Kluyveromyces lactis: one gene and its partners. The protein of the gene in region 1 interacts with the protein of each later gene in a pairwise test. Links are inferred from orthologs where the notes say so. Each region holds a gene or a part of one and is shown in the gene's direction. Other genes may lie near its edges.

Region 1 (2,255 bases):
AATTAAGAGCTTCGCATGTGTTATGTAAACTATTTATGATGTTCTTTGGTTCTTCTTCGATATTCTTCTTGGTATATGCCGTCTAACATACATATAAATGTAGAACAATGATAGATATATCGTCAAATTCGAATGGAAGAATTCGATGAAGAAAACTCTATTTATATATTTTCGGGATTTGTTGATCAATAACAATATGCTATCGTATAGATCCTAGTTCATAGCGGCTCCAGTAGTATATTTACTGCTTCTGAAAAAAAAATGACACCTTAGAAGTTCTCTCACAACTCCATACAATAACATCTCCACTACCTTCTTCCCGGCTTAATTTTTTAATATTTATTATTAATTTCCTATTGAAACAGAAAATATATTTATTTTTCGGAATAGTAAAACTATACAATATTTTAAAATAAATTGAATTAAGTTTTATTTAAATTAAATAGATAATTATAAAAAAAGTAAAAATTTATTTATTTCTATTATGAGAAAATTAATAGATATTTTCTCTAGAAAAATAAAAGAAGAATTAAAACTAATTTGAAATTATATTTTATTTGCACGTGATATATATACATCACTTTGTTCACTACTGTCTTGTTTAATATACAACATAACTATATGGATTATCATTATTATTACTATACTTAAAAAGACAATTGAAAGAAAAACTAATATCATTCGGATATCTGACATTTAAACTCCAGCACAGTGTACCTATATTACCTTATACTAGTCGTGAGTTGTGTACTCTGTATCATCTTATTGTTTCTGATCATTTATTCATTTTCTATCATTATTATATTTTTTTATATTTTTTTATCTAATTTAATTTATTCTATTTTATTTTAATTGTTTATTCTATTTTTTCACATTGACATGCAGGAATTCAAGAAATAAAGTGTTACCAAGCGAAAAGAAATAAAAATAAAACTTTTCGATGATGAATTGAGCTCATCTCATCGCTTTGGTAGAACACTATCACAACTACTACAAAAGCACAACTGGACTTGAATTTATACCTCTGGGTACGCTGTCTACTAGTTAAACCGCGAGACAAGTCTGAATTTACAATAATCAGACTTATAGAAGAAAAATCCTTGACGCATAACAATCCATCGAACTTGAAAGATGGCTCCCAAACAATCAAAAACGGCTAAGAGATCCAAGAAACAAAATGGAACGAGGGAAGTAAGATCAGAAGTATTCGAGGACTCTATTGCCAAAAATCAAATGGCAAACGTGCCTAAAATGACTGAAAAATCTGATACCAAGAAACCAACCAAGTTACAGGTGAAGAAGGATAATTTCAAAGCACGTCTATATGGTAGCCAGAAGAAGAAGGAAAGACGCTATACCGAGAAAGAATTAAATATTCCAACACTTAATAGAGCGATTGTACCTGGTGTAAAAATCAAAAAGGGTAAAAAGGGGAAGAAGTTCATCGGTGATCATGATTTAATAGCGTTAAACAGATTAATCAAAACGATAGGTGATAAAAATGATGAAATAACAGAGAGCAAATTAGAGAAGACAAGGAGACTCGAAGAAATTCGTGATCTAAAGAGACAAGAAATGGAAAGAAAAGAAACCGAAAAGAAGGAACAACTAGAGGGTAAGAAAGATGAAATCAAGAAGAAGGCATCCGTTGCCAGAACTATTCGTAGGAAAACCAAAAGGCAAGAACTGAAACAAGAGACATTAGCAGCTCAGTCTGAACCTATCAAGAAGAAGAAATCTGTCAGCTTTGCATAGTTAATACATCAATTTATATATGCATATGTGTGTATGTAAATGGAGGAATCGATAACCTTTTAGCATCGATCATGTGACTAAACATATTAAAAACATTAGATTACCGTTACTGTAACAACTGGAGTTAATCAGCGTTTCAGCCTCAACACAATTTTGGTGTCAGCAGCTGTTCAAAGATTCGGATATGAGGGCGCATGTGTGTATCCGGCTGCCATGTCGGTCTTCTATTTTCTAGTCATTGTTGATGATGAGAGAACAGAGACATTTCAACGTTGTTGGGGACTTCCATACAATGCAGATTGAAAAGTGGGACATTCTTACGATTCTGAAGCCAGATGATAAAAAAAAAAAAAAAGAAAACTGACGCTGCTCTGCCAGATACCGTTATTGACAAGATGCTTTCAGCTGGTAAACACAAGCACCATTTTTTTTTACGTGACTTAACTATTCTGAGTTCATCTAGTATTCTGGTAAAGCAACGGTCAAAAACTCATCCCTTC
Region 2 (3,463 bases), on another chromosome or scaffold:
GCAGTTCTGCAGCATCACACATCATAGTAATCTTCGCATATGCAGCTTGCAACTCGTTATCCTTCTTGTCAACGATAGATTTCGACTGAGCCCTATTCAAATCCCTAGTAACTCTAGCATCACTTCCCTGGGCCTGCCCGATACGTGTGGTTAAATGGTTTCCATCCAACAAAGGATTTGAAGCTTCACCAACACGACTTGGATCGTCTCCATTCTGATCGTCATTGCTAAAAGTACGCCATTCTGACCTGGTATCCACAATTCTATCCGATAAGACTAACCCACATAATGCACAGACGATATCACCTTCACTAAACCGTTCCACAACTTTCGGAGGATAAACTTTACATTCGGGACACGATATAACAATGTTCAAATTTGGCCCCCTCCTTCTAGATGAGACAGCTACATTTGCTGAAGCTGCTGCTGGCAATGACATAGTTTCTCTTTTCTCTTGCCTCGGTATATGACTCAGAACAGCCTAAAAAAATAGCTGGAAACTGAACGGTAAGAAGTCGAATGATGAGCCGCTAAGATAACTAAACTTAGGCGCTGCTTTTGTTATAAAAGAACAGAAGAAATACCGATTAACCAACTAGTAGACGGACAAGACTGTGTAAGTTGCAACTGGATAGCTCCTTATCATTTTAGTTTCTCAATTTCTAAGCAAAAATGCTGGAAACTCGACGGAAATATATATCACGTGATAAACGCCACAGAAACAACCGTGGCATGTCTCTTGTTTACGGTTGATGAAAATTTTCACGAGATCCGGGTAACAAGTAATAACTTCGCAGTTATTACTACACTGACTGGAAGTAGAGAGGATGAGAGATGTGGTAAAACAAGTTCCACCCTCGCAACTTCGTATCGTATATCACGTTATATCAGTTCTTATTACTGAGATGATTTTTGTTCCCTGCTAGTGTCAAAAAAAACTGCGCAACGGCTACTGGGCTGCCTTTATATGTACTGACAGTTTCACTGCCCTTGACGGTATTACTGTATATATAATGTTAAATATCTGCCTGGAAGTGCTCATAGATATACCAAATACGTCCCAAATATTATTGACACAAATTATGGCTTGCGAGTAGCATAAGATTGCCTCGTAATTGACGAGTATCCACTGTGTTTCCACTGTCGTCCGCCAGCAAAAAGAAATTCTTTTCTACTTTGAAATTTTTCAGCTCTTCGAAATATGTTAAAACCTGCGATGAGATGAGATGAGATGAGATGAGACTTGATATTTACAGAACACCTGTTCAAGTAGATGTTTCAGTACTGTTTTCCGTGATAAGTTCACCGGAACAGCTAAGATATCTATAATCCAGTGCAGTAAATATACCTTTTTCCATTAATCAAAAGAGATGGTGAGAGTAAGAAAGAGAACTTCCAAGAGAACTTCCACTCGTATGAAGGAGGGTATCAAGAAGAAGGCTGCTGCTCAACATAGGAAAGAGCGGAAACTTGCTAAGAAGGATGTGACATGGAAATCCAATAAGAGTAAGGATCCAGGTATTCCGGCCAATTTCCCGTACAAGAACAGGATCATCGAAGAGATTGAAGCGAAGAGAAGAACTGATTTGGAGGAGAAAGAACGTAGAAAGCAGGAAAGGTTAGAGGCTAAGAGAAGAACTCGTGAACTAGGTGAAGATGTTGGTGATGACGATGAATCTATGGATGAAGATGAAAACGACGGCAACAATGGTCTTTCTGCTTTGTTAGAATCCGCTCAGCAAGCTGCAAAGGAGTACAATGGGGAAGGTATCGATGATACAATGAATGGAGAGCAAGAGGATTTAGAGGTTGCTGAATACGACGTAGACTTTTACGCTGACGCAGATGATGATGATTCTGAATTAGAAAAGTCTAGAAAGGCTTACGATAAGATATTCAAGACTGTGGTGGATGCGTCCGATGTTATCCTTTACGTGCTAGATGCAAGAGATCCAGAAGGAACTAGATCGAGAAGAGTGGAACAGGCCGTGCTTCAATCCCAGGGTAAGAGACTAATTTTGATCTTGAACAAGATCGATTTAGTGCCACCATACGTGTTGCAACAATGGTTAACCTTTTTGAAATCCTCGTTCCCTACTATTCCATTGAGAGCTGCTCCTGGTGCCACTAACTCCACATCTTTCAACAGGACTTTGACTCAGGCTACAACTGCTTCAAGCTTGTTAGAAGCTTTGAAGACTTACTCCAATAATTCAAACTTGAAGAGATCCATCGTTGTTGGTGTCATCGGTTATCCAAACGTCGGTAAGTCGTCTGTCATTAACGCATTGACCTCTCGCCGTGGTGGTTCTTCTAAAGCATGTCCAGTGGGTAACCAAGCTGGTGTCACTACATCTATGAGAGAAGTCAAGGTAGATAACAAGCTAAAGATCTTGGATTCTCCAGGTATTTGTTTCCCAAGTGAAAATAAAAAGATGAGTAGAGTGGAACAAGAAGCAGAGTTGGCCTTGTTGAACGCTCTACCTCCAAAATTCATCATAGATCCTTACCCAGCTGTGCTCAAATTAGTGAAGAGACTTTCTAAATCTGAAGAAATGACTGAAAGTTTCAAGAAGTTGTACGAATTACCACCTATCCCAGCTGCCGATGCAGACTCTTTCACCAAACAATTCTTGATCCATATCGCCCGTAAGAGAGGTAGATTAGGTAAGGGCGGTGTTCCAAACTTGGCCAGCGCTGGTATATCCGTTCTTAACGATTGGAGAGATGGTAAGATCCTAGGATGGGTTCTACCCAATGCTTCTAAGGAATCTGCTGCAGAACATGCTGCTACATCTGGTGAAGCTAACCAACCAACTCTAGGTACTGGTGCTGTCGCAGCACCAGCTAAGGTGGAACAAACGACCATTGTTCAAGAATGGTCCAAGGAATTCGATTTGGATGGTCTTTTCGCGTCATTGGATAACGCCATTGAAGCTGAACAAGACAACTTAGGTAATTGAGAACACAGAAAACGAATTATTCTGCATCTCTATGAAATACGATCAAGGATCCTATTGCTTATTTTATTTCGCATCGTTAAAGCTATAGATTTAAAAGCTTATGTATTAGGATGTGAATTTGAACACCCGTTTCAGTCCACGCACCTAATAGACAATACACATTTGTACACTACTACATATAAATGATTTAATATCTTCTTCGGCAAGACGTTTTTGTCATCTCTTTTCTTTAGGTAACAAACCTTTAAATAATACTTTAAATGCCTACTAAAATCAAAATGTTTAAAAGAGTGAAGAAGAGAAATAATCCGTGAGTCTACCATACGAACTCCAGGCTACACTATGTGTACAGCGTGACTAAATCTAGGGCCAAATATGCAGATCAATGTCAATGATAGATTGAATATAGGAGGTGAGTTTTGCACAGTACGATACATCGGATCATTGCCAGAATGGCCTAATATCGTTGCATATGGTTTAGAGTGGGACAACAAGCAAAG
Region 3 (2,992 bases), on another chromosome or scaffold:
TTAAACTCGGCAATAAGAAATTAGACGGTCTATGGAAAGTGCAATCAGGCTTAGATTTAGCGAGAAAGTATTCAGAAAACAATAGACAAGATCCCTCAGAACTATATGACACTATAATATCCGAATACAAGGATAAAACTGAAAAAACTGATGGTGATGAAACCACTACTGATAATGTCATAGTAAAACAATGGCAGAATCTAAGATCTTTGAGGCCGAAATACTTGTTTGAGTTTAATAAGGTCAGCGAAAAAACTACTCTGGCGGGGTTCGCCAATGAAGAACTCATTAGGAATGATATCGAATCTAAGAAAAGACGGCTAGCCGAAAGAATAGAGTCAAAAAAGAAGAAACATTCCGAACAAGTCGCCGAGGCTGAACAGTTTTTCAAAGACAAGGAACAAGAAAGGAAAGATCTACTTCAAGCGAAGATAAAAAGTCAAAGAGAAACTCTGGAAAATGGAAAAAATGATAAAACAACTTCGCCTGATGATCAAGATAATGATTCACTAAAGAGAAGACACGATAGTCCAGAGGCTGACGGGAATGAAGAAGAACAAGCTGTTTCGAAGAAACAAAAACTTGAGGAAGAAGTTGAAGAACCAGATGCTGACGCTGAGGCTCAAAAGGAAAAAGCGCTTGAATCTGAACCAACAGAGCTTAAAACAATAGAAAGTACAGAAACAGAAGTAGAGGTGCCGAAAGAACATGAAGGAAGCTCCCACACGGAGTAGGCTAACAATACAGTAATATTTTTTCAGACATCCGTTCAAATATATAGCATATAATTCGATTGAAGAATCATTTATTTTATCAATTACAGATGTTACTTATCAATATCACACGATTCTAGACTATTCCTCTCCTAATTGACATTCGACAGCTATCTCCTTGTCTATTATGAATCGATATCCTTTACTTTGCTTCGAAAGTGAATGTTACCCGGAGAATAATCATATTTCTTTTTTTTTATGTCAATTTTTCATTTAGACAATCCGATGCCAATAAGATGAAAAAAAAAAAAAGAGATGAGATGCGATGCGATGAGATGAATTCAAGTACACAATTAATACTCGGGGACTGGCGTATCGTTTTACTAATCCTTACCATACTATTCAGGACAATCCACCTCAAACAAACAGACAAAATAGTTAGTTATGGCGGGATCTAAGGACAGACCAGCTCAGTACAAACAATCTTCTCGTAAAGGTAAGAAGGCATGGAGAAAGAATATTGATATAAGCGATGTGGAACGCAAGCTCGAAGAGAAGCAGATCCTTGAGACTACTCATGGTAAGCAGAATTTGACAGAACTTAGCGATGATGCGCTTTTTGCGGTTGATACTGAGGGTGACCAAGTTTTAAAGCAGAAATTAGTGAAGAGGAAAGCAATCAAGAAAACTCTGAAGTCAACCGAGATTTTGGAGTCTATCAAGTCTAAATCCAAAGTGCCTGCTCTAACCAACCCAAAGACTGCTAACAAGAAACATGATAAGATCCAAGGGGTATCAAAGAAAGAACTGGACAGATTACTTGCTTTAGCTGGTAAAAAAATTGGTGAAAGTAAGTTGAAAGCAAGAGTTGCAAAAGAAGGTCTTGTGAAGTCAGGATCCCTTGATTTATGGGGCGAAGATGCTGGTAAGGAGGTTAAAGTACCATCTGGACTGAAGCTTAAGATAGCACCAGAAGAAGTAGAGAAACTTCCAAATGGATTCTTAAAACAGTCTACAACTAGTTGGTCCGTCGCAACTGTTAAGCCGGATTCCATTGCTCGCGTGCCAGAAATTGTCAAAGAAAGAGATGTCATTCCACATGCAGGAAAGTCATATAATCCAAGCAAAGAAGAATGGGAGGCTCTTATAAGTACTGAATATGAGGGTGAGCTGATAAATGAACAGCGCAGGATAGCTTTAGAACAATATAAACAACGAATTCAACACTTGATGGATACTATTGAAGATAAGGAGGAAGAGGACTCCGATTCAGAAGAAGAAAATGAATCAGAACTTGATGATAAAGACCTTTCAGAAGAGGGAGAAGAGACTAAGTTGTCTCTGAATCCAGCAACTAAGAATAAAAAGAAAACGAAATATCAGAGAAATAAACAAAGAAGACACGAAGAAAAAGTCAAACTTCAGCAAGAATTAAAGAAATTGAAGGAAAAGGTTCTCAAACTTGAAAAATTAGAGGAAATTCAGCAGGAAGTGGAATCCACCGTCCCAAATCCGGTCTCTACAGCCGGAAAAGTTAAAAAGAACAAGAAGCATAAGCTTGGTACTAAACATTCCGTCATGGAAGACAATTTAGAGGTGAAATTCTCAGATGAACTATCAGATTCATTAAGAAAATTAAGACCAGAAGGTAATCTGCTATATGACACTGTGAGAGCATTACAAAGTTCTGGTAGGGTAGAATCTCGTATCCCTATTAGAAAAGGTAGAAGATATAAACCAAGAGTCACTGAGAAATGGACTTACAAGGACTTCAAATAGATTAATTTGCTCTTTTCTTTCTATACATCATTCCGTACCATTTGTACAATAAAATACACAGACGTACCTGTGCTTTTCTTGCATAATTTATATAGAGCAAAATATTAATAGATTCATTAACTCTGTGATTATATTATATAATAGTAATGAATACAATATCCGACACTTTTACTACTGATTGAACTACACACCAAGAATAGTTCATTTGACTTGGCAGATTTAAATTTTCAAACCAATTTTTCACACCAATGTCAACTTTGCCTGTAGTTCATCTCTCTGCCTTTCCCATTCTTTTACCTTTGTTAGCTTTTGGTTTAGGGTTTCAATCTCATTTTCGATTGATAAAATAGCTTCGTCTGACCCTAATGCCTGTAGGCTCCAATCAGTTCCGTTAGTCAATTCCAATAGGTAGTCATGGTATTTTATCAAAGACGGGCGTTGAGAGATGGATATGAAGTTGAATCTGTATCTCTTCAACATGGTAAAAAGATGATCTTCCA
Region 4 (3,036 bases), on another chromosome or scaffold:
ATTTTATGGAGAAGAAGTTAACATGTTTTCATCCATTACTCTTAGTTTTGTTACATACAGCCGAACTCATGTGAGATAATGGAATTGAAACTGTGGGTTTCCTTCTCTATACACGGGCATAACTCGATAAAATATTGTTTTCAGTTTTACTAACAACGAATTTTTCAATTCAATTTTCAATACAGGCTCAAAAGTGGTATCCAGCTGAAGAAGTCCCAGCTCCAAAGCAAACCAGAAAGGCCGCTAGACCACAAAAGTTGCGTGCCTCCTTGGTCCCAGGTACCGTCTTGATTTTGTTGGCTGGTCGTTTCAGAGGTAAGAGAGTTGTCTACTTGAAGCACTTGGAAGACAACACCTTGTTGGTTTCCGGTCCATTCAAGGTTAACGGTGTTCCATTGAGAAGAGTCAACGCTCGTTACGTCATTGCTACCTCTACCAGAGTCTCCTTGGAAGGTGTTAACACTGAAAAGTTCAACGTCGCTTACTTCTCCAGAGAAAAGTTGTCAAGAAAGCAAAGAGCTGAAGCCAACTTCTTCAACGAAGACCAACCAAAGAAGGAAATCAAGGCTGAAAGAATCGAAGACCAAAAGAACATCGATAAGGCTTTGTTGGCTGAAATCAAGAAGACCCCATTGTTGAAGCAATACTTGGCTGCTACTTTCTCTTTGAAGAACGGTGACAGACCTCACTTGTTGAAATTCTAAGAAAGCGAAAAACAATTCAAAACTTTAAGCTACTTTGTTATATAATATTAACATAACTTTTATATCTTAAGGGTGTATTAAATCCCTTTCTAGTGTTTGCAACGTCGTCATCCCCACAACCTTATTCTATAAGGACAATTGATTGTAACAATTGGTTTGAACTACTTTTGCCTAAGAGTCTCTGCTATATATTCATGACTGTTTTGCAGACACACCAGTTAACACTATAACCAACGTGTGTACCCTGTCTGACGACCCTTTCGAACGATGTATTTCAATATGTCTTGTACCCTAAGCGGAGGTCGATAAAACTCATCACGTGCAGAAAAGAAACGTCGAATCTTCTCTACATAAAGTTCGTTTCTTTTGGAAAATTTTCAGAATTTGGAATAGTTAAGGTTGTGAAAGAAATAAGAGATGGACGCCATATAAGAGAGATGAGATGAGATGAATTACATTAGGTAGAGTCTTCTTGAGTGGAAGAACCTTTTTCATAGAGGTTTAGTTCGTATATTTTTTTGTAGACATATACCCACAGATTAAGAAAACTCTCATTCTAACTGAATAGCATAACAATGTCTGACCTATTACCTTTAGCTGCTTACAATTTGAACATCGAGCCATACACTCCAACCCCGGCCATTGATGTTACCACGCCTGTTACCGTGCGTATCACCATGGCTGCTATCGATCCAGAAGCTTTGGATGATGAGAAGAACCCATCTACTTTGAGAATTATCAAGAGAAACCCAGACTACGACGATGAAGATGATGCTGGTGGTTTGTTGGGTGATTACGACGAAGATGAATTAGACATTTCCGAAGAGGAAGAAGAAGAGGAGGAAAAGTCAAAGTCTAAGAAGGGTAAGGGTAAGGGTAAGTCCAAGAAGCAAGAAGAGGAAGAGGAAGAGGAAGAGGAAGATGAAGATGAAGGCGATGAAGAACTTATCGAAATTGACACCGATGACGAATTCCAAGAATTCGTCCTAGCGACTTTGTCACCAAAGACTCAATATCAACAATCTTTGGATATTGTAATTGCTCCAGAAGAAGAAGTTCAATTCATTGTTACTGGTTCTTACCGTGTTTCTCTAACCGGTAACTATGTCAAGCACCCATTCGATGCACCAGGTTACGATGACGAAGATGACGATGAAGAAGACGATGAAAGCTACGATGAAGATGAAGACGACTATCTAACCCCGGATGAAGAAGCTGATCTGGAAGAGTTAGAAGATGCTAGCGACGTTGAAGCTAAGATCCAAGAGCTTGTCGAAAAAGAACAATCTAAGTCTAAGAAGAACAACAAGAGAAAGCAACCAGAACCAGAAGAGGAAGAGGAAGAGGAAGAGGAAGAGGAAGAGGAACAAAAGCTAGTTGAAGAAACTAAAAAGAACAAGAAGGCTAAGAAAGAAAAGAAGGTTGAATTCAAGAAAGACCTAGAAGAAGGACCAACCAAGAAAGAAGAAAAGAAGGAAGAAAAGAAAGAAAAGCCAAAGACCAAGGTGCTTGAAGGTGGTATCATCATCGAAGACCGTGTCACTGGTAAGGGTAAGGCTTGCAAGAAGGGCTCCAAGGTCGGTATGAGATACATTGGTAAGCTAAAGAATGGTAAGGTCTTTGACAAGAACACCAGCGGTAAACCATTCGTTTTCAACTTGGGCCGTGGTGAAGTCATCAAAGGTTGGGATATCGGTGTTGCCGGTATGGCCGTCGGTGGTGAACGTAGAATCGTCATCCCTGCTCCATATGCGTACGGTAAACAAGCTCTTCCAGGTATTCCAGCTAACTCCGAATTGACTTTCGACGTTAAGTTGGTCTCTTTGAAATAAATGGAAAAGGATATATAATCGGCATACATATTACTCCTTCATAAATACTTACTTTAAATCAAAAAAATAACATTCTGAAAGGTGACAGTTGACGTTCCCAATGGAGAAAATGCTCTCACTCACAAATTTCTTGGTTTTGATATCTTAGATAGGCTTACTTCTCATTTTTTATAAAATCTCAACGAACTTGAAACTAAACTAGCCCTAAAACAAACCACATTTTAAGGAGAAGGAAAGGACGAAGACACCAGAAGTTGGTCAAACAACAATAATTTACGGACATTCTGATTTACATCCTTATTGACTGCAACCTGTTAAGGCGATTAGTGAACTGAAGGTTAATTGAAAGAGACTATAACTACCGTTTTGCGTGCAATTTGTAATAATTCTATTCTGAAACAGGAAATTTTTGTGAGCTAGCCGCTGAAGATTAAAACAGCAAACAAAAACAATAAAGGAAGGGAACAAAAAACCCGCTCCAATTGTGCACATAGTTAATC
Region 5 (4,213 bases), on another chromosome or scaffold:
CATAGATACCGCCGTTATTACCTAGAGAACAGGGGCTTGGTCGTTGTATAAATGCCTTGATGGGAAGGTTGCCTGTTTGGAAATGTAATTGAAAAGTTGTTCATGCCTGGTTTGTCCAATAATTTTGCTTTTTTGGCGAATTGGTTCATATTTTGTGAGGAACACATTGTGTTTTCAGATTGTTCGAGTTCGTAAAGCCAATAAGCCACCTTCTTTGCTTCTTTAAATCTTATTTTTCTATACCCTAGCGCATGCATGATTTCATTGAATCTGTCTTTAGTCATGTATCTTGAGTTCGTCAAGCAAGGTAGAGGTATAACTAGAAACAAATACGTTTTCTTGTTACATTTCAGAAACTGTTTGAATCGAAGTATCATTTGGCCTCTTTGAAGGGGTGTCGGCACGAAATTCAATACAAGTGAGCATGATATCAGGTCAAATCTCTGCGATTCATCCTTTGGTAATGGTCTTTTCATGAAATCCTGCCTTTCAATATTTACAGTATCATTTGAGTTAAGATCAATCCTAACAACGGGATTAAAGAGACCACACACAGAAATATGATTTTTCGCACTAAGGGATCCCAATTCCAACGCATTCATACCCAGAGCTTTATCCACCCCGAGTTCTTTGCACCACTTTACCAATTGTTTAGATGAATCACCACCTCTGTTGGAATCCTGACCAACTGTACTAGCAAATTGGTAATTCTGCAAACCGCCATCTTCTTCAATTTCTCCACATATATAACCAAGAATTTGACATAATTGCTGACTGTGTTCAATGCTTTGCACATGAACAAGTAATTCCTCTAATCTTGGATTTGGTCGTCTAGACTTTTTGCCCTTATTAAAATCTTCCTGTAAAGTTTTATTCTTTCGGAAAAAATTCTCAATATTAATAGCGTTGGCCTCTTCATCGTTTTCTACTATATCACATCGCAGCTTGTTGCATATCACTCTTCTCTTCTGAATCAATAGATGGAAACGTCTAATTATCTTCCTGGCCTTGGAAGGTTTGATCTTCGGTACATGTTTCGCAACAGGTTTTCCAGTTATGGTCCTCTTTCTTCGAGAGAGCATTGGAACAACGTAATAAGATTTTTCACGTATAAGTTGAGGGTTATAACCCGAGTGGCCCTTACCTGTTTTGTTGAGAGATGCTCATCTCGCTTCAATACCATCATGTTTACCAGACGGTTATGTAAGAGTTGGACAGTTTTTAAGACATATCCGGGTAACATAAATAGAATCGTTTCTTTTCGACTTTCTAGAAAATCTTGAGAAAGAAGCTCCAAGAGATGAGATGAGATGAGATAGAAGAGATACCAGCATACGTGTGCATGAACAATAAGTTTCTCGGTAATTAATTGTTGTCGACCTCATTCTGTATAAGAAAAGGACAGAAATAATAATGGTATACGGTGTTTCAAAAATGGCGAATAAGAATCGCAAGAACTTGAAGCCTGTTAAAAGTGATAGGAAAGACCGTATTTCAAAGAATCATTCAAAGAAGAAGGTTAATAAGAATAGCCTTAAGAAAGTAGCCACTACAGATATCACTGTTAATGCTAATGAGTTGAATTGGAAGAGTGTTGATATTCCAGATACTTTAGATGATTTCGGTGGTTTCTACGGATTAGAAGAAATCGATGGTGTGGATGTGAAAGTTGTCGACGGTAAAGTCCAGTTCATCACGAAAGATAACAAGAACGTTAAGAAAGAGCCGGAGCAAGTGGAGGAAAAGGATAATATCGTTTTCCAAGAGGATGATGAAGATGTCAACATGGATGAATTAATTGAATTCAAGAATTTTGACGATATCAAGGAGGGTGAGTTAAGTGCAGCTTCGGATGATGAAGAGAGCGAGTTCCATGTGTCCACTGAAGAAGAAGGAGAAGAGGGAGAAGAAGCAGAAGATCAAGAAGAAGAAAGATCCGAGAAGGAAAATGTTAAGGGGGAAGCAGGTACTGTTGTCACTGAAGATCAAACAAATGATGACTTATTACAGAGCAACGTATTTTCCTCTAACGTCGATATCGATGATCAAGAGCCTCCAGTACTTCCTGAGTGGTCCGAAAATATGGATCTCTCATTCACAGTGCTGAAAGGACTCTCTGGGCTTGGCTTCACCAGGCCTACAGAAATTCAATTGAAATCTATTCCTTTAGCTCTGAAAGGACATAATATCATGGGTAAGGCTAGCACAGGTTCCGGTAAGACTTTAGCATATGGTATTCCTATCATTGAACAATTAATTAAAGACACATCAAATGATAGGTCTATCGGCTTGATATTTACCCCAACTAGAGAATTGGCCCATCAAGTAACTGACCATTTGCAAAAGGTTTGGACGAAAATGAATAAGCTTAACAAGTACACGATTCTTTCACTAACAGGTGGTTTGTCGATTCAGAAACAAGAACGTATCTTAAAATATGATGGTTCTGGTAGAATCATTGTGGCAACTCCTGGTAGATTTTTGGAATTATTAGAAAGGAACCCAGATCTGATTCCTAGGTTTGCCAAAATTGACACTTTAGTTCTTGATGAGGCAGACAGACTACTACAAGACGGACATTTCGATGAATTCGAGAAAATTTTGAAGTTATTAGGGAAAGCCCGAAAAATTAAAACAAGTATCGACGGAAAGCCAACTGGAAGTGGATGGCAAACAATGATTTTCTCTGCCACATTTTCATTGGATCTTTTCACGAAATTAGATAAAACTTCATGGAAAATCCTTAAAACAGCCGGTGGGGAGAACAATGAAATGGAACAAGTTTTAAATCATTTGATGAAGAAAATTCAATTCAAATCTAAGCCAGTTATTATCGATACTAATCCTGAACATAAAGTTACATCTCAGGTCAAAGAATCCCTGATAGAATGTTTGCCAATGGAGCGTGACTTATATGTCTACTACTTTATCATGATGTATCCTGGCACAACTTTAGTATTTTGTAACGCTATAGATAGCGTCAAAAAGTTGAATGCATTTTTAAACAATCTAAAGATTTCGTCATTCCAGATCCATTCATCAATGGCTCAAAAAAATCGTCTTAGGAACCTTGAAAAGTTCAAAGAACAATCAGAGAAAAATAGCAAGGTAGGAAAACCAACAATTTTAATTGCTAGTGACGTCGCTGCTAGAGGATTGGACATCTCGGGTATCAAACATGTTTTACACTATCACTTACCCCGCAGTGCTGACGTATATATCCACAGAAGTGGAAGAACAGCCCGTGGTGATAATGAAGGTGTTTCTGTCATGATTTGTTCACCACAGGAATCCATGGGACCTTTAAGAAAGCTCAGAAAGGTGTTATCTACCAAGAAGAGTAGTAACCCCAGGAAAACAAAATGGCAGAATGATGTCCCAATGTTACCACTTGAGCCTGACATCGTTTCTCAGCTGAGAGAAAGAAGCAAGATAGCGAGCGAACTTGCTGATGATGAGATAGCAACGAAATCACTACATAAGGATGATAATTGGTTAAAAAAGGCTGCTGAAGAATTGGATATTGAATTAGATTCAGAAGAAGAGGAAAAGGACCAATTTTTAGCTAGAAACAAAACCAAAAAGTTGAATAAACAGTTGGAAAAGAATGAAAATAAGGCTCTAAAATACCAGCTCAACGAGTTATTAAAAATGCCACTAAGAAAAGATTTAAGAAAAAGCTATCTAACAGGAGGTCTGACCAATCTCGCTGACACTTTAGTCAAACATAAAGGTCACAATTCCATTATTGGACATGATAAAGTGGATGCATTGCAAACACTCAAGGGCAAGAAGCATAAATGAAGCCCTTTATCTGCTATAGAGAAATAAAAATAGGAAAACATATATATTCCCAATACAACAGTCGTTGTCGGAGTGTGAAGAATGTTTGAATTGCATGAAAAATATGTAATGTCTTGCAAATACAACTTAATCAAATATATCTTGGTGATACTTATGATAAAGAAAAGAATGAAAAGAAAGATATATATTTATAAACACTATTTATACATCGCTTGACTGAAGAGGTTTAAATGAAATCGTAGTCATCATCATCTTCATTTTCATCATAATATTCATCATCTGAATCTTCCATCAATTGTTCGAAGTTGACTTTATAACGAAGTAGCGCACCAATACCACCGAAACCAGTAACGAATTGAGCACCTTCAGAGGATTTATCGGTAATGAATTCTAGATTGGCACCGTAGTT
Region 6 (3,954 bases), about 150 kb from region 1:
TTTATCTTCCCCGTCAATTGCCATCATTGTTCCCATATCATAAGGATCAGCTTTATCATCTTATTACTTTTATCACGCCATTATTACCATTAGCACTCTATTTTTATTTTCATTTCAGTGAAATGATGATGAAAATCAGAAAAAACACAAAGACAAATGCCATTGCAGTTATTTTTTTATACGTTTCCTTTGTCCATTCATTAGGATACCAATTGTCATTGTCTTACGAATATATAGATATTCTTCGCTATCGCTACTTAGAAAGAAAATCTCGTTTGTCTTATTCAACTTTTGAAATGTACAAGTTTGAGTTATTTTTAGGCAGGTCAATGGGTTCGTATCTATGACCCTAATGTCCCTCTAAAACTACACCTTGTATTTCGAGGTAATCAACTCGACTTGAACCTCTTCTCTTGTATGCACAATGAAAAGAAGAAGAAGTATAGTAGAAGTATTCCTTTACCAAGAGTTGTTCTCAATACGTAACTTACCTTGTTCACCTCGAGCTGGTGCATCTGAAACCATGAGTTTCCAATCAATTCATGCAAATGCACGTCTATTTCTGCCCCAAGAATGTATATGTATGTGTGTCAATGCTTATTGATGCATGCACCATTGGCAACTAATGGCACCATTGGCTTCCACCATGCACGTCGTTTGTGCGGGTAATGGCGAGGTCCCAAAAAACATTCTTTAATTGGGATTGATTCCAGTAAAGAAATTCCAATGCAGAGAGGCGGATACTTGAGGGAAGTACATACATTGTGCAACTTTTGATTCAACTTACTTTCACGCTTTACCTACTCCTGAGCATGTCCATTGGCTCGTAACGCTCTCGGCAAACCATGTGACAAGCAGATTCCCCGCTTCTTGGTCTCACTACTACATAGAATGCTTTTGTAAATACTAAACGAGAGAGACAAACTCATTACCCGGATAATCGTTAATCACGTGATGAAAAGAAACGACAAAAATTTTCTACCTTTACACCAAAATCAAGCTCATCTCATCTCATCTCATCTCATCTCATCTCAACTCTTATTATGCGCTCAGACTGTGTTTGTTGATATACACAGAGGCCACTTCTCTGTTTGTCGTTTGATTGATCTATTGCTTGGAAAGAAGCAACACTCGATAACAAGTGCAAATCTGGAATGAGTCTTGATTTATCCAAATTGAAGGAGAAAGTGTCCTCCAAATTGGGAGCTTCAAAGGCCAAAGACACTAAGCCTAAGAAGAGTAAGAAGCAGGGCGAAAAAGAGACAGACGTTACTCCAGCTAAAGAGGAAACTGCTGTCACCAATGAAGAATTGATCCGTGAAGCTCTGTCTCTTGGAGCCTCTGAAAAAGATGTCCAGCTTGTTGATGGTGTTGACGACGATGCCAGTGAGATTGAATTCAATGAAGCCGATGAAGAAGTTGATGACGAGTTTAAGAGCGATTTCAGTGCTTTATTGAAGAATATGGGATTCGATAAACTACCTGAACCTGAAGTTGTAGAAGAACCAACAGTTACTGAGGATGCAGGCAAAGAAGAGAAAGATATTGAAGAGGAGGAGGTAGAAGTTGAAGAAGAAGAAGAAGAAGAGACGGTAGAGAAAGAGGAGGAACCACTTAGTCCTAAACCAGCAGAAAAAAAAAAGGAAGATCAATCCGACATGATCACTCAAACTCATATTGTTCAAAGTGATAAATTACTTGTTCCATCAGATTTGTTGTGGTACGAAGTTCCTTTGGACCCTGAATTAACAAGAGAACAGGATCCGCTAACGAAAGAACAGATAGATAAGTTATACCAGCGTGGTAAAGAGGCCTTAGAATTAGATAACACTAATTACTACGAAGAATTTACCAAGAACTCATCTCAACGTAAGTTTATGTCCCAGATCTTAAGCGATGGTACGTTGAACGATAAAATTAGTGCTTTGACTTTATTGCTACAGGAATCTCCATTGCATAATATCAAATCTCTTGATTCTTTGATATCCTTTTGCGGGAAGAAGTCAAGAAATTCCGCATTACAAGCTTTGAATGCTCTGAAGGATTTGTTCTTAAATGGTCTGTTACCTGACCGCAAGTTAAAATACTTCAAGAACCAAAACCTTTCCATGCTACTGAATAAGAGAACTTTAGCTATTTTATATTTTGAGGATTACTTGAAGGGTCTATATTTCAAGATTTTGGAAATCTTTGAGAAATTATCCCATGATCCTATCATCTATGTCAGAATGCAAGTGCTAACACATATCTTTGACCTGCTAACAGCCAAACCAGAACAGGAATTCAACTTGTTGAAACTTGGTGTTAACAAATTAGGTGACATTGATAACAAAGTAGCGTCAAAGGCTTCCTTCAAACTTTTGAAACTTGAAACTCAACATCCAAATATGAAATCAATTGTGGTAGACGCTGTTGTCGATATTGCCATAAGGCCTCAAGCTGACTATCATACTACATACTATTCCGCATTGACACTTAATCAAACAATTTTGAAACGCTCCGAGAAGAATCTAGCAAATCAGCTAATCAAGACCTATTTCACTTTATTCGAGAAATTCTTAATCCAAACTGATGCTGATAACGAGGAATCAAAGAGTGAAATCAAGGAATCCGATAAGTCATATGAAAAGAAGAGAAAGAAGAACTTCAAGAAGGGTAAAAAGGGTGGTAAGTCTGTCATTGAAGAAAAAAGTGCTCAAGAAGTTATCGAGGAAAAAAATACCAAATTATTCGGTGCTATTCTAACTGGTTTGAATCGTGCTTTCCCATTCTCTGATATGCCGGGATCCGTGTACGAGATACATCTTGATACATTGTTCAAGATAACACATGCGTCTAATTTCAACACTTCAATTCAAGCATTAGTATTGATTCACCAGGTTGTCGTGAAGACAAACATCACAAGTGATAGATATTACAAGACATTATACGAATCCCTACTCGACCCAAGATTGGTGTCGTCATCGAAGCAAGGTATTTACTTAAACTTGCTTTACAAATCTTTGAAAGATGATAAAGACATTGGAAGAGTGGATGCTTTCGTAAAACGTATATTGCAAGTCTGTGCCCATTGGTTGAACATCGGTGCCATTAGTGGTATGTTCTTTTTGTTGATACAACTTTCAAAGAGTTTACCGCAGATCAGAAATGTTCTAATCAACTCACCACTAGACTCTGTTTACGAATCTGATGACGAAGATTCCAGGGATAAAACTAAGGAAAAACCTGGTTACGATAGCCGTAAACGTGATCCAAAATATGCCAACGCTGAAAATTCATCGCTTTGGGAGATAAATCAATTCTTGTCCCATTTCCATCCTACTGTGCAGTCGTACGCACAAGGGTTCTTCGACGGTGACACTCAAGAAACAAGAGAGTTAGTCAAACCCGATCTTGGCCTATTCACGTTAGCCCATTTCTTGGATAGATTCGTGTACCGTAACGCCAAGCAAAAGCCAACCACTAGAGGTTCATCTATCATGCAACCTTTGGGAGGTGTACACACTGGTTCGTTATTAGTGAAGGCCAGCGATACCACATTGCACGAAGTACCTGCTAACACGGAGAACTGGTTAAGTAAGAAGGTGCAAGATATCAAGCCAGATGAAAAGTTCTTCTATCAATATTTCTCTACAAAGACTAATGCCATCAAATCTACCAAGTCAGGTGCAGAGGATGAAAACGGTACAGCTGAATTCGACGAGGAAAGCGATTTGGACGAAGATGAAATTTGGGATGCTTTAGTGAAGTCAAGACCTGACGTCGAAGGTGACGAAGAGGACAGCGATGTTGAGTTCAGTGAGGACGATTTCTCACAGGATGATTTCGGATCGTCATCCGAAGATGTCGATATTGATCTCAAAGACCTTGCATCTTCGGGAGACGAAGATGAGGCATCAGAAGCTGATCTTGAAGCTGAAGAAGGTGAACCAGAAGACATCAGTGACTTCGATC
Region 7 (4,183 bases), on another chromosome or scaffold:
GACTCCTGGATATTGTATCTTCACGACACATTCCTCGCCGTTGTGCAAAACAGCATTATGAACTTGACCAATGCTTGCTGCAGCGATAGGAGTCCTGTCGAAACTCTTGAATTTCTTTTCCCAATCAGAACTCAATTCTCTAGCCAGTAGCCTGTCCAACTGTCTTGGAGGCATATAATTAGCACTGTTCTGAACTCTTGAAAGTATCGTGTATAATTGCGGAGGTAAAACCTTCTCATCCTGGAATGACATTAGTTGGCCCAACTTTAATGCTGCTCCTCTCATTTGAGAGAATTTATTTGCAATCCTTTCAACATTAGAATCTGATAACAGTAAATCTTTAAAACTTGATGATTGGCCACGACTCAGCTGAGTGATACTTTGAGATGCAGCAGAAATACCCACACTAGCAGCTAGGTGGCCGTAATGAAAAAGCCGAGAGATACGTGATGAAGGGACTTCTGAACTTTCCAGTTTATTAGCCTTTTGTTTGTTCACCAATTTATCCTCTGGAATAGCGTCAGCTGCTTTATTAGAACACCTGTGATAAGATGAAAAATGTCTCACATTTTTTTTGTTCTTGACTGAGCACTTGCTAAGGTGTGCTTTTTTAGAAGAGTGCCCTTTCGTAGATTTTCTGACGGATTCAGAAAGTTTACGGGCATGTTCCCAGTCCTTGTCGTAAAACCATTGAAATTTAGACAGTACCGGTCTTGTCAAAGTGGAAGTTTTTAGCCAAATATCAAGAGACTGTCTACCAATCGAGGCAGAATTTTTTACCACGTTGCAGAAGGACTCTGATAAACAGATAGCTTGATATAGCCCTTTTCTCGACATTGAATACAGCGATACTTCTCGATATCAATTAATTCAGCCGAAGAACTATCAGATATCACAAGATCAAAAATAAAGGGTGAAAGTATTTGATCTATCCAATGATACTACGAGTCAATGGTCAAATTCATGAATATACAGCGTAATAAGAATGGATTAAGACTCTGTCTTTACTTTATTACCTTTCCTTATTTCATGAGAGAGTCGAATCGTACAGATATCTTGCAGAATAATCCATCTTTTGAATTTCAAATAGATGCTTGTTTGCTTGCTTGCTCTTGCCATTCTAACCTTTGTTATCCGGGTAATGATGGAATTGCGATTTTGACATATGGACGTGTAGTTTTTTCTTTTTTAAAAATTTTAATGCAAATTGTAACATTAAGCTCATCTCATCTCATCTCATCTAGTGTAGTTCAATACTAGAGATAGTAGGTTAAGTGGTTATAAAATCCCCTGAATATTAGATACTACTGCTGAGTTTGGTTTACTCCGTTAGAGATTATTCGCATTACCAGTTGCAAAACATCAAACGTTGAGTAATTGACGATGGGCAAAAGAAGGTTTTCAAACGAGCATGTGTCTGCTGTTGAGACTTCTATTCCGGAGCATGCAGCTGAAATCGCAGAAAAATTAACCAAAGATCACCCTCCACCAGCAGCAGAGCCTTTAATTCATCATGATTCTGGTGAGTTCAGCGGGATGCAACGCCATCACACTACTGCGGCCGATGCCGAAAGATTGGAAAATGGATCAGTTAATCCATTCACTGGTGGCTCACTATCAGAGAAATATTTCGGTATTCTAAAGGTAAGAAGAGACTTGCCAGTGCACGCTCAAAGAGATGAATTCTTGAAGATCTATCAAGAAAACCAGATCATGGTTTTTGTTGGTGAAACGGGTTCCGGTAAGACCACTCAAATTCCTCAATTTGTGCTGTTCGATGAAATGCCACATTTACAAAATACTCAAGTTGCTTGTACGCAGCCTCGTAGGGTTGCTGCCATGTCTGTGGCACAGAGAGTTGCTGAAGAAATGGACGTCAAACTAGGCGAAGAAGTTGGTTATTCCATTAGATTCGAAAATAAGACCTCTAATAAAACTATCTTGAAATATATGACTGATGGTATGTTGTTAAGAGAAGCCATGGAAGACCATGACTTGAAACGTTACTCTTGTATCATTTTAGATGAAGCACACGAACGTACTTTGGCAACAGATATCTTGATGGGTCTTTTGAAACAGGTTATTGATCGTAGACCTGATTTGAAGATTATTATCATGTCTGCTACTTTAGATGCTGAGAAATTCCAAAGATACTTTAATAAGGCGCCACTTTTAGCTGTCCCTGGTAGGACACATCCAGTGGAGATCTACTATACACCAGAATTCCAAAGAGATTATTTGGATAGTGCTATAAGAACTGTTTTACAGATCCATGCTACGGAGGAGAAGGGTGACATTTTGTTATTCTTAACCGGTGAAGATGAGATTGAAGATGCTGTAAGGAAAATATCATTAGAAGGGGATCAGTTAATTAGAGAGCAAGGTTGTGGTCCTATCTCTGTATATCCATTATACGGTTCTTTGCCTCCACATCAACAACAGCGCATTTTTGAACCTGCTCCTGAATCCCATAATGGAAGACCTGGTAGAAAAGTCATTGTATCTACTAATATTGCAGAAACCTCTTTGACTATTGACGGTATTGTGTATGTTGTTGATCCTGGTTTCTCTAAGCAAAAAGTTTACAACCCAAGAATTAGAGTTGAATCCCTTTTGGTCTCTCCAATTTCAAAGGCATCAGCTCAACAAAGAGCTGGTAGAGCTGGTCGTACCAGACCTGGTAAGTGTTTCAGACTATATACTGAAGAAGCTTTCAAAAAGGAACTTATCGAGCAATCATATCCTGAAATTCTCCGTAGTAATCTTTCTTCGACAGTCTTAGAACTAAAGAAACTAGGCATTGACGATTTGGTGCATTTCGATTTCATGGACCCTCCTGCCCCAGAAACTATGATGAGAGCCTTAGAAGAATTAAACTTTTTGGCATGTTTAGATGACGATGGTAATTTAACACCTTTGGGTAGATTGGCTTCTCAATTCCCTCTTGATCCAATGCTTGCGGTAATGTTGATTGGATCCCCCGAATTTTCTTGTTCCGAAGAGATGCTAACGATTGTCGCCATGTTATCCGTACCTAGTGTTTTCATTCGTCCTTCGAAAGATAAGAAAAGATCAGATGACGCAAAGAACATATTTGCACATCCTGATGGCGACCACCTAACATTATTGAATGTCTACCATGCATTCAAGTCAGACGAAGCTTATGAGTACGGGATCAACAAGTGGTGCCGCGACAACTTTTTAAATTATAGATCTCTATCTGCTGCTGACAACATCCGCAACCAATTGGAAAGGTTGATGGTTCGTTACAATCTCGAGTTGAACACTACAGATTATGACTCCCCTAGATATTTCGATAACATTAGAAAAGCGTTAGCTGCAGGCTTCTTTATGCAGGTCGCAAAAAAACGATCTGGCGGAAAAGGTTATATCACAGTCAAAGATAACCAAGATGTTTTGATACATCCTTCAACTGTTTTGGGCCATGATGCCGAATGGGTTGTATACAATGAATTCGTTCTAACCTCCAAAAACTACATTAGAACTGTAACATCAGTTAGACCTGAATGGTTAATAGAATTAGCACCAGCTTATTATGACCTCGATCACTTCCAAAAAGGTGACATTAAACTATCGTTAGAAAGGGTAAAGCAAAAGCTCGATAAAATGGTGGAGCTACAACAAGAAAAAAAAAAAAGTGCGAAATCTAAAAAGTCTAAGAAATAACCAAGCATATAGATGTGTAACTTATATAATAAGATTAACCTTAGAATCAGCATGATAAGTCTTATTGTAGAAGTATTGTGCGGTATTATTAGCACGCGACTCAAAGTCTACGTTTTTTTTGCTGCATTTTATTGAAATTCGGTATGGTGTACGTTTTATATTCAACCCATAAGAACTTCGCTTATGATATTTCAGTGTAAAAAATATAAAATCAAATCTCTAGGAGTGGTTTCATTGCAATGGCGCATATAGTATCTGTGTTGCATATTTTCTTTTGTATCTAACGATGCTAGCAACACATAAAGTATTATGTTTAATAGAAGACGTTGCTAAATGATTAAGAACGACGTGGTTAGGAATTGGCAACGCACCTGAATTATTTTCACTACCTGGTTCAGCATTTTTGTTGTAATTATTGAGAATAACATTCTCCAACTGAGGTGGAAGTTGTGGAGGAGTTAACCATGACATATTTTGTTGATTGTTCTGTTGCTGG

Evidence for each region.
Region 2: the proteins of KLLA0_E14257g (region 1) and NUG1 interact in binary tests that used the Saccharomyces cerevisiae proteins (3 or more experiments, as listed by UniProt). The link is inferred for Kluyveromyces lactis from reciprocal best matches to the Saccharomyces cerevisiae genes LOC1 and NUG1.
Region 3: the proteins of KLLA0_E14257g (region 1) and NOP53 interact in binary tests that used the Saccharomyces cerevisiae proteins (3 or more experiments, as listed by UniProt). The link is inferred for Kluyveromyces lactis from reciprocal best matches to the Saccharomyces cerevisiae genes LOC1 and NOP53.
Region 4: the proteins of KLLA0_E14257g (region 1) and FPR3 interact in binary tests that used the Saccharomyces cerevisiae proteins (3 or more experiments, as listed by UniProt). The link is inferred for Kluyveromyces lactis from reciprocal best matches to the Saccharomyces cerevisiae genes LOC1 and FPR3.
Region 5: the proteins of KLLA0_E14257g (region 1) and MAK5 interact in binary tests that used the Saccharomyces cerevisiae proteins (3 or more experiments, as listed by UniProt). The link is inferred for Kluyveromyces lactis from reciprocal best matches to the Saccharomyces cerevisiae genes LOC1 and MAK5.
Region 6: the proteins of KLLA0_E14257g (region 1) and MAK21 interact in binary tests that used the Saccharomyces cerevisiae proteins (3 or more experiments, as listed by UniProt). The link is inferred for Kluyveromyces lactis from reciprocal best matches to the Saccharomyces cerevisiae genes LOC1 and MAK21.
Region 7: the proteins of KLLA0_E14257g (region 1) and PRP43 interact in binary tests that used the Saccharomyces cerevisiae proteins (3 or more experiments, as listed by UniProt). The link is inferred for Kluyveromyces lactis from reciprocal best matches to the Saccharomyces cerevisiae genes LOC1 and PRP43.

The regions. Positions count from the first base shown.
Region 1 is NC_006041.1:1,262,119-1,264,373, reverse strand, and holds KLLA0_E14257g (Loc1p), read left to right. Parts: upstream 1-1,131; coding exon 1,132-1,755; downstream 1,756-2,255. UniProt on the Saccharomyces cerevisiae protein: Required for efficient assembly and nuclear export of the 60S ribosomal subunit. Involved in asymmetric localization of ASH1 mRNA.
Region 2 is NC_006040.1:1,173,577-1,177,039, reverse strand, and holds NUG1 (RNA-binding GTPase NUG1), read left to right. Parts: upstream 1-1,370; coding exon 1,371-2,963; downstream 2,964-3,463. Other genes in the region: SUA7 (transcription factor TFIIB), read right to left, coding at 1-439; PAC2 (Pac2p), read left to right, coding at 3,339-3,463. UniProt on the Saccharomyces cerevisiae protein: GTPase required for 60S ribosomal subunit export to the cytoplasm.
Region 3 is NC_006042.1:1,055,269-1,058,260, reverse strand, and holds NOP53 (Nop53p), read left to right. Parts: upstream 1-1,157; coding exon 1,158-2,492; downstream 2,493-2,992. Other genes in the region: HPR1 (Hpr1p), read left to right, coding at 1-734; ATP-binding cassette long-chain fatty acid transporter PXA1, read right to left, coding at 2,733-2,992. UniProt on the Saccharomyces cerevisiae protein: Late-acting factor in the nuclear maturation of 60S ribosomal subunits, which is required for normal acquisition of export competence. Required for the export of the large subunit.
Region 4 is NC_006038.1:421,074-424,109, reverse strand, and holds FPR3 (peptidylprolyl isomerase FPR3), read left to right. Parts: upstream 1-1,279; coding exon 1,280-2,536; downstream 2,537-3,036. Other genes in the region: RPL6A (60S ribosomal protein eL6), read left to right, coding at 186-704. UniProt on the Saccharomyces cerevisiae protein: Proline isomerase that belongs to an abundant class of enzymes that catalyze the cis-trans isomerization of X-Pro peptide bonds and can accelerate the refolding of proline-containing polypeptides. Specifically binds nuclear localization sequences.
Region 5 is NC_006039.1:966,658-970,870, reverse strand, and holds MAK5 (ATP-dependent RNA helicase), read left to right. Parts: upstream 1-1,413; coding exon 1,414-3,804; downstream 3,805-4,213. Other genes in the region: BMT2 (25S rRNA (adenine2142-N1)-methyltransferase), read right to left, coding at 18-1,082; SUP45 (translation termination factor eRF1), read right to left, coding at 4,031-4,213. UniProt on the Saccharomyces cerevisiae protein: ATP-binding RNA helicase involved in the biogenesis of 60S ribosomal subunits and is required for the normal formation of 25S and 5.8S rRNAs. Required for the maintenance of dsRNA killer plasmid.
Region 6 is NC_006041.1:1,108,069-1,112,022, reverse strand, and holds the start of MAK21 (RNA-binding ribosome biosynthesis protein MAK21), read left to right. Parts: upstream 1-1,154; coding exon 1,155-3,954.
Region 7 is NC_006038.1:40,901-45,083, forward strand, and holds PRP43 (DEAH-box ATP-dependent RNA helicase PRP43), read left to right. Parts: upstream 1-1,383; coding exon 1,384-3,687; downstream 3,688-4,183. Other genes in the region: protein kinase COQ8, read right to left, coding at 1-837; KLLA0_B00583g (protein kinase subunit beta), read right to left, coding at 3,919-4,183. UniProt on the Saccharomyces cerevisiae protein: Pre-mRNA processing factor involved in disassembly of spliceosomes after the release of mature mRNA.